Linked DNA regions of Solanum lycopersicum. The protein of the gene in region 2 binds, or shares a complex with, the protein of the main gene of each other region. Links are inferred from orthologs where the notes say so. Each region holds a gene or a part of one and is shown on either strand. Other genes may lie near its edges.

Region 1 (4,002 bases), on a different chromosome or scaffold from region 2:
TAACTACACATCTGGCATAAGTTGAGCCGAGTTCCCATTTTGTAAATTTCTATATACCAAAGGTTCTGCTTTGTTCCTTAACCAACGCACAATCTCATATATTTTTGGTGCATAAAATATGCTAGAGAAAAAAATGGCAGACTCCTTGATGTTTATCACTCAATACGGTCAGACCAACTTCAACGCCATTGTATCCCTGGATCATCTGAAGTCCTCATGATACCACCACACAGACTTCAAACTTTCAGCTGGCCTCTCCGCACCTAGCCCCCTCCGCCATTATTCTTCTAAAGTCTAAACTCCAAAAAAACATCCCCCCCCCCCACCCCCCAACAATATCCTACTTTCTTGCCATCCTGGATCATTATTGCCGTAAGGTAGGAAGATAAAGGACTAAGATCAGCAGAAATTCTTAATATCCATTGCTCTTTCTTTTCTTTTACTCCTAATCATTATAATCTCCCCCAACCAAACAAAAAAGAAGTAAAACGATAATAAATACCCATCACTTTCTCTTCATGATCAAACCATGTTGTTATTGGAAGGGTGGAAGGTGAAAAAAAGGAGAAAGTATGCAACCATAGAAGCAGCATTATGCAGCAACAAGACTACAAACTAAGTCCAGCTGCAATAAGAGAAGTATCTCCAAAGTCCAAATCAAAGTAACTCTTCTCTATTCTTGTAAAGATGGAACAGAGGCTTTCACCATCCAGTTTCCAAGGCAATCTAAAGAGGGAGTTTGAAGGGAGTTAATTTTTCTAATGGAACTAAGCAATTGGAACCAGATCAGTCCAGAAGGTTCACATATAACAGATTTACACATATGAACAACCATTTTACTGTTTACAACTAGGACCCCTGATCTGCTTCGAGTGAGTAATATATCTAGCTGATGAAAACTAATACCATATTGCTTGTACAGCTCCAAATAAAAGGGAAACATAATAATACAAAGTACAGTGCGTCTAGATCATTTCAAAGAAGAAAAAGGATCCTCTAAAAATAAACTCCGCTAGATAAAATGAGACCTACATGTATATGTAGTAAAAATATAAAATATGGATGTAAATAGCCAGAATGATATTTGCTTTTCTATCTGAGCTTTTGACATATTCAGATAAAGAAGTAAAAAAGAGAAAATTACTGCAGATCATAACCTGAACAAGATAATAGAAGATACGGAGTCCCTCAGGATCATTACTGGTCTGCACATCCATTAATGAACCAATCTTAGATGTAGTGAATGATATGTGTTCATTTCCCATCACAATCTCAAGCTCCTGTCTACCAACTCTATCTGGTTCCGGCCAGTTGTTATCATCTTCCTTCATGATCTACAACAAACACACACGCAAATTAATTCTTCCATTTTGAAATCAGAATGATGGTCAAGTTATTATTTATACTAAGAAAGTAAAGAGGTGGAAGAGATACAAAGTCGGAGTTGCAAAAAACACACATTACATCACACTGAACAAAACAAACCCCAGCCCTCCGCTACAACTCTCTCCCCCCTCCTAAAAGAACCCTTACTTGGACAACAATTCAAACAAGAAAAGTTCATTTATGTGATAACTAGAAATTTTACATCTCGTTTTTTTATGTTATCAAAATAATAATTTTGCTTCGTTGCAATGAACGTTAACCCCAAAATTGCTCCAAATAACATGGTTATCTTTCTTCTGATATGACAGTTTTGCCTCTTCACTAACATTATTAGATCCAAATGGCTCTAAAAGTTGGTATTCCTCTCTTTTCATTGGTCTTCCCATAGGAGCGGGGTTTTATCCTGTTCGCACCCAAAGGGTAGAGGCTGCGGGTTTCCCTTGTCATAAAAAAAAAAAAAAAGACTCTGATTTTGGCAGAATCAGAACATAAGTAACAAGCGAAAGCTAGTCATGAAAAAAGAAAAACCCCAACCCTCCACCGCAGCTGCTTCTCTCCTTCTTAAGGAAGTCTTCCTAGGAAAACGATTCAAATGAATGAAACAAGGAAAAATCTTCTTTTTGACAAATTGATACCTAGAAATTTACACCTAATTGAATCTAGAAAATTTGACCTAGTTCCCATGCTATTAAAATGATAATTTTGCTTATCAGCAATGAATGTTGCACCAAAATTGCCCAAAATATGGTGATTATCTTTCTCCTGGGATGAGAATTTTGGCTCTTTACTACCAATTCTTAGGTAATGGCTCTAAAAATTGGAATTCCAGTCTTCTCATTGACCTTCCCACAATCATTGACCTACAAATAATTTGGATTTTTCCTAAATCAGAACATAAGTAACAACCGAAAGCTATTGGACGGCACCCCATAGACAATCAATCAATCAATTATGCCTCATTCTCACATTAACTGAGGCTATCTAGCTATATGAATCCTCCACATCATAGTTAAAACTAATCATCCAGCAAACGTGTTCTGGACTGACGATGCATTGCACTAATCAAAGTAAAACCCCTAAATAACATGTAGCAAAAATCACCTGCAAACCAAAGGAGAAAGCGAGTTTGACCCAAACCCTAATTGTAAGCCAAAACAACAAAATGCAGTCGAAAAAAAGGGAGAGGATAAAAAACCTCGCTATCAGCAACAATGCGGCGGCATTCTTTGAGAACAGAAGGGGTAAGGAAGACTTCCTTGCGAATCATTGTATCATTCTTGTAGTTGGAATTGTTAGCATAACGGAGCTTGCCATCAGGCCTAAACTCAAACTCTAAGAACTCGTGACCGAATTTTCCTTTGTGACCCACGTAATATCTCAGGTAAAACTCATCATTCTCCGCCATTTCCCCCATAGTTTGCCCTCTTCTGTCAACGGCGACTACCTTTTAGGTCTAAAACACCGCCCTTGGAGTTTTGACACCAAACTGTGAATTAACAAAGCCCATAAGGGCCTTTTTTCCAAAATTATAGAATTTTGGAGGAGTAAAGTGTTTAGACGCAAGAAGTTATGGACTCATGCTGAATATTATAATATATAATTTGTAAGTAGACTAAAATATTCATTTGCTTGCACTTAAAGTTACTTATACATACACTATTAGTTTACTTATTTTTTATTATTCTCTTCTTTTTTAAAATATTACTAAAATTCTTTTTTTCCCCTTAAACTCAACTCTTGGATACATAACTCCATATCTTTTAACCTATATTTCACTCTCTAATTATTTTTTCTGAAATCACGTCATATTCTCTCCCATAATTTTATCATTCTAATTTTGATTTTGAATTTCAAGATATTTTCTTCTTTCGTCAAAGATTTTCTTTCTCACGTCATATTCTCTCCCATAATTTTATCATTCTAATTTTGATTTTGAATTTCAAGATATTTCTTTCTCCCGTCAAAGAATTTCTCATTCCTCTTAGGTATTGTTTCAATTTCGTTATTTTCGCTCATAGTTGATTGTTACTACTTGAGCTGGAGCAGAATAGTATAGATGAACTCTATATTCGTCACGCAAGTGAAAACATTTTGCATTTCATTATCAAAGAATTTGTCATTATTATCGATATAAAAAGCACAGAAATGATTGATGAATTCAAATATCCCGATTTCACTCGTATCAAGTTGATTCAGCGATATTTTCTTGACTCAAAAAACATTGTAAACAAAAGTTGTTTAGTTCAAAGATTTTTGATAGATCAATGGGAGAATAATCAGGATGTCATTAAAATGGCAATCCTATATTTCATATGTTTGTTTCGTTTTTTTCCAACTCAGTGATGCAAATATACCTATCACAATTATATTTGAACCCATAGAGTTCTCTAATATCATGAATTATATCTTTCGGAGTATGAATTGTTTATGATCGATGAATTTAGAAGCATTCACAACACTAACAAACCCAATTGTTGTTCGGATTTTGGTTAGTATCCTACCTGCACTTTACAATTGTTTATAATTGATCAATTTTGTCATGATACATTTAAATTTCTTATTTGTTTTAAATACATTTATATTTTTAGATACATTACGTATACATAAAAGTTACAA
Region 2 (3,977 bases):
AGGCCAGTGACAATTCCACTCCTACGGAGTTGAAGGCAATACAATAAACGACATATATTATAGTGAAACAGTTCGCAAGAAAACAATTACAGACGTCATAACATTAATCCAGTTGCAAATGTTTAAGAAGTAGCTATTCCAATCTCTGAAAATAATTTGAAGGCCCCGACTTTTTGTCAAGAGGGTAAATCTATGCTTCTGAAGGAACATTTGCCAACATTGATTAAAAGTGAAAAAGTGTATCCTTGATTCAGGCAACATTTTTTCACAGCTATTCTACACAAAATTATGTTAATTGGATTAACCAAGAAAAATACCTCCTCCTAACATTTCTCCTTCTAAAAGGACCTTTGCTGAATGCCCAATCAACATGTATAGTCTGAGTTAGCAGCTCATTCCCATCCATTTCACTAATAGCTCTCTCTGCTTCTTCAAAGTTTTCATATTCAATAAGTGCATAACCCTGTCAAAATGGAAAACTGTATAAAAACTATACCACTCCAAACTACGACAAAAGTTGAAACTTAAAACAAAGAAAAGTATCTATCTAGAATCCTTCATAATTAACATAGCATTGATCCTATTTTATTCCATTTTACTCCATTACAGATTCATTCAAGGAAATGCTCTTACATAGTTATATGGAAGAAGGAATGTCTGTCACTTATAAACTTCAACAAATTTTTCTTGATCAAAAGAATTTTGTCATCATCCAAAATCTTTTGATAGGAAAGTTTATTAGATTAAAGCATACAATGGGGATGCAATTCATATAGCATCATATGTACAACACCCAAAACCCAAAGAAGCAGGCAAGCAGCTAAACATTCCGAGAAAGAAAGAGTCAGTTCACCTTGACAAATCCAGAACGACGATCCAGATTCAAATGCAAATTCTTGATCTCCCCGAACTCACCAAATGTATTATGAAGATCATCTTCGTGTGCCTCCTCATTGACTCCAGTGACTAAAATAATCCATCCTTCAATGGCTGCAGATGTTCCCCTCATTAGCTCTCTACTACTAATTAAACTAAACCTTTATTAACCTTACCGGTAACTTCAAATATATATATATATATATATATTGAAGAAAAGAAAAAAAAAAAAAAGAGGGGGGGGGGGGGGGGGACACCATGCATGTCTGAATCAGCACCTATCAGACATTTTGGGATTTTTATTACATTAGAATTGCATAACTTGAAAAATATCTGAGATACCCAGCACAAATTACATATTACTTGAAGTGCTGGTGACCCAGCAATCAAACAACTAATATCTACGACTGAAATCAGCATATTAGATTCTGTTGGCCAATTTCTCCGACAGCAAGTGCTGAAGACCAAGCTGAGCCGTTGGAGGGTAAGTTGCATTAGCTATACAAAGCTAGCTCTCTCTAAAAGCTAAGCAACAATGATAAAGTGACAAATATACAGCCTACCATTACGTGCTTCTTAGATGTAAATAAAGTAATAGCTGGAACCCAATCCAACTGGTTAGCACATTTATAATGTAAAGAACACGAAGCTGGAGGGCGGAGGCTTATAAGCACAATGGCTAGAGGAGGGGACCAAACAGCACAGATATACATTAAGTACAAACATTTTACCCTATTTCACGATCTTTCCACTCTTTCTGAAAATGAAGACCTCAACTTAATTATTTTTTTTGACAAAAAAAGACCTCGACTTAATTATCTTCAAGTTATTCCACTTTCTAGATACCGTTACAGGGTCCTAACAACTTGAAGATGAGTACAAGCAATATTTGAGTGTTCCTTTCTCTAGTTGCTTTTCTTCACACAGATGAACAAAATCAACTTCTACTAGCAGTAGGTCCTAACTTCTTTATTCACTTCTCTAATTCTGCTTGCTTATACAATGTAGGTGAAACCTTAACATGGTCTCATTCACAAAAGCAATTTAATATCGTTCAACTAATCAATAACAGATAACAAATTAAACCAAAACTAGAAAGTATACTAAATACACTCAATAAAACCATAAAAGCACCTCGTGAAAAAACTCTAAAGATAACAGGGTCAACACTTGAGTGTTCAATGTTAGTCTTCTAAAGTTAGATGTTCTCTAGATTCAACACTGTAAACCAAACTAAACACACTCCTTCGAGGGTCATTACATTACGCGGATTACCAACCTGTAGCAGTTTTCTTTATTCATAACACAAAAACCAAAAGAAAAACAATTATAAGAATAAGCAATTTTTAACCTGTTAAAATTAAGACATCCTAAACCTAGATATTCTCTTAATTAGAAGTCTCTAACCAGACTAAAACATTTCCTTAAGACACTTTACCCATTACCCCAACTATCAACCTCCCGTCACAAAATCATAGAGAAAACAATTATAGGTAACAATTCTTTAACACCAGCGCACAAAGAGAGAATCTGGGGTTTTGATGAATTGTTGACCCACTGCAACATTTTCCCCTAATTTGAACAAAATTCTAAAAAAAAAAAGAAAAAAATGAGGTAGAAAGTTCGTTGGGTTATATAAAAGATGAGTTAAGAGTAGAAACTAACATCGTTCAGGTCCAGGGCCACCTTCGGAGTCAAGTGAATCAAATCGAGCAGAAAGGCGAGCATTCCTTTCAGCCTCAGCAGTCTCTTCACGGAAACCCCGTCCTTTGATTTTCTTAGAAGCAGAAGAACCGCCGCCGCCACCTGTAATGGCTGATTTCAGCTTTGGCATCGGTGCCCTAGGTGATGAAGCGTCAACGTCTTCGTCCATCAGATCGTCTTCCTCTGGCTCGAAATCCACAGCCTCCTCCGGGTTCGCCATTTTCGCCGCTGCAGCAAAAAGAGAGAATCTGGGGTTTTGATTCGCTTGTTTCAACTGTATATATTTATTTATTAGTACTAATAAAGTATTTTTGTTGAAGCTGTGTCCAGGCAAAATGCTAGGGTATTATACTGGCACAGAAGGGTTTTGGGCCATATGATCTTCCTAAATCTTTTTGTGGTCGGGTCGGGTCAGAAATATAGTTTATTGCAATTAATAAGAAAATATTGGACAAATAGAAATACACCTCTTTTGTTTCACTCATTTGTATTATCCCCTATTACTTTCAAAAATCTCTAAAAAAAAATTATTCTTTAATGTATTCGAGTTACACAATAATATATCTGATCCAGTATTTAATATATATGAGCTACATATTATGTATCCGAGTTAATTTTTAATGTATGCAAGCAACATATTAATGTATCCGAGATCATATTTAATATATCTGATCTTCAATTATTGTATTCGGATTTTTTAACTTTTAAGGTATTAATGTAATTAGAAACTTATTAGGAATAGATTGTAATTTCATATCAAAACTATGAAATTTATGTAGTTCACACAAAATATTTACCATAATATCAAATCATTTGATTTGAGACTCTAAAATATACTAGTCAAATAAAAATATCAAAATGAATGCATAATAAATGAAATTATAATCAAGGAATGTGGTGGAATGAATAAGATTCTTTCATTTTTGATTTAAAGTGTAGAATGTAAATAAGAAATTCTACTGGCCGCATTTCCATCGTAATAGTCTCACATGGTGTGAACATAAGCTAGTTAAATTAATATATTTCGAAGTATAATTAGAAACAGACAGAGAGATTCGTCCGCAGATTAGGTATTTTTAAATCTTTCTATGTATAGATATACATTTTTTGAACCTCCTAAGATTAGAACTTGACATAATAGAGTTTGAAATTCACCTTGAAAGAATACTATCTACTTGAACTACATAATGTTAAAAGTTAGAGAAAACAAATATATAAGCTTTTGTGTGATATTGTATTGTTAAAGTAGGTTTGTGTACTCTTGACAATTTCGTCATGGTGTATGAATGTGAAACCACAATTTAACTACACTAAGCCACTTATTATACTTCTTATTTACCAGAAGATATTAATGGGTTGTTTTTGTTCACAACTAATTACACCAAAGAATACCATAT

What was found.
Region 1: RNA-binding protein 8A-like (region 2) and protein mago nashi homolog share a complex: the UniProt entries of both Arabidopsis thaliana proteins name them as parts of the mRNA splicing-dependent exon junction complex. The link is inferred for Solanum lycopersicum from reciprocal best matches to the Arabidopsis thaliana genes Y14 and MAGO.

What each region holds. Positions count from the first base shown.
Region 1 is NC_090802.1:52,071,423-52,075,424, reverse strand, and holds the start of protein mago nashi homolog, read right to left. Parts: upstream 2,801-4,002; coding exon 2,582-2,800; intron 1,335-2,581; coding exon 1,158-1,334; intron 1-1,157. UniProt on the Arabidopsis thaliana protein: Core component of the splicing-dependent multiprotein exon junction complex (EJC) deposited at splice junctions on mRNAs.
Region 2 is NC_090805.1:43,323,062-43,327,038, forward strand, and holds the start of RNA-binding protein 8A-like, read right to left. Parts: upstream 2,801-3,977; coding exon 2,542-2,800; intron 991-2,541; coding exon 854-990; intron 464-853; coding exon 318-463; intron 1-317. UniProt on the Arabidopsis thaliana protein: Core component of the splicing-dependent multiprotein exon junction complex (EJC) deposited at splice junctions on mRNAs.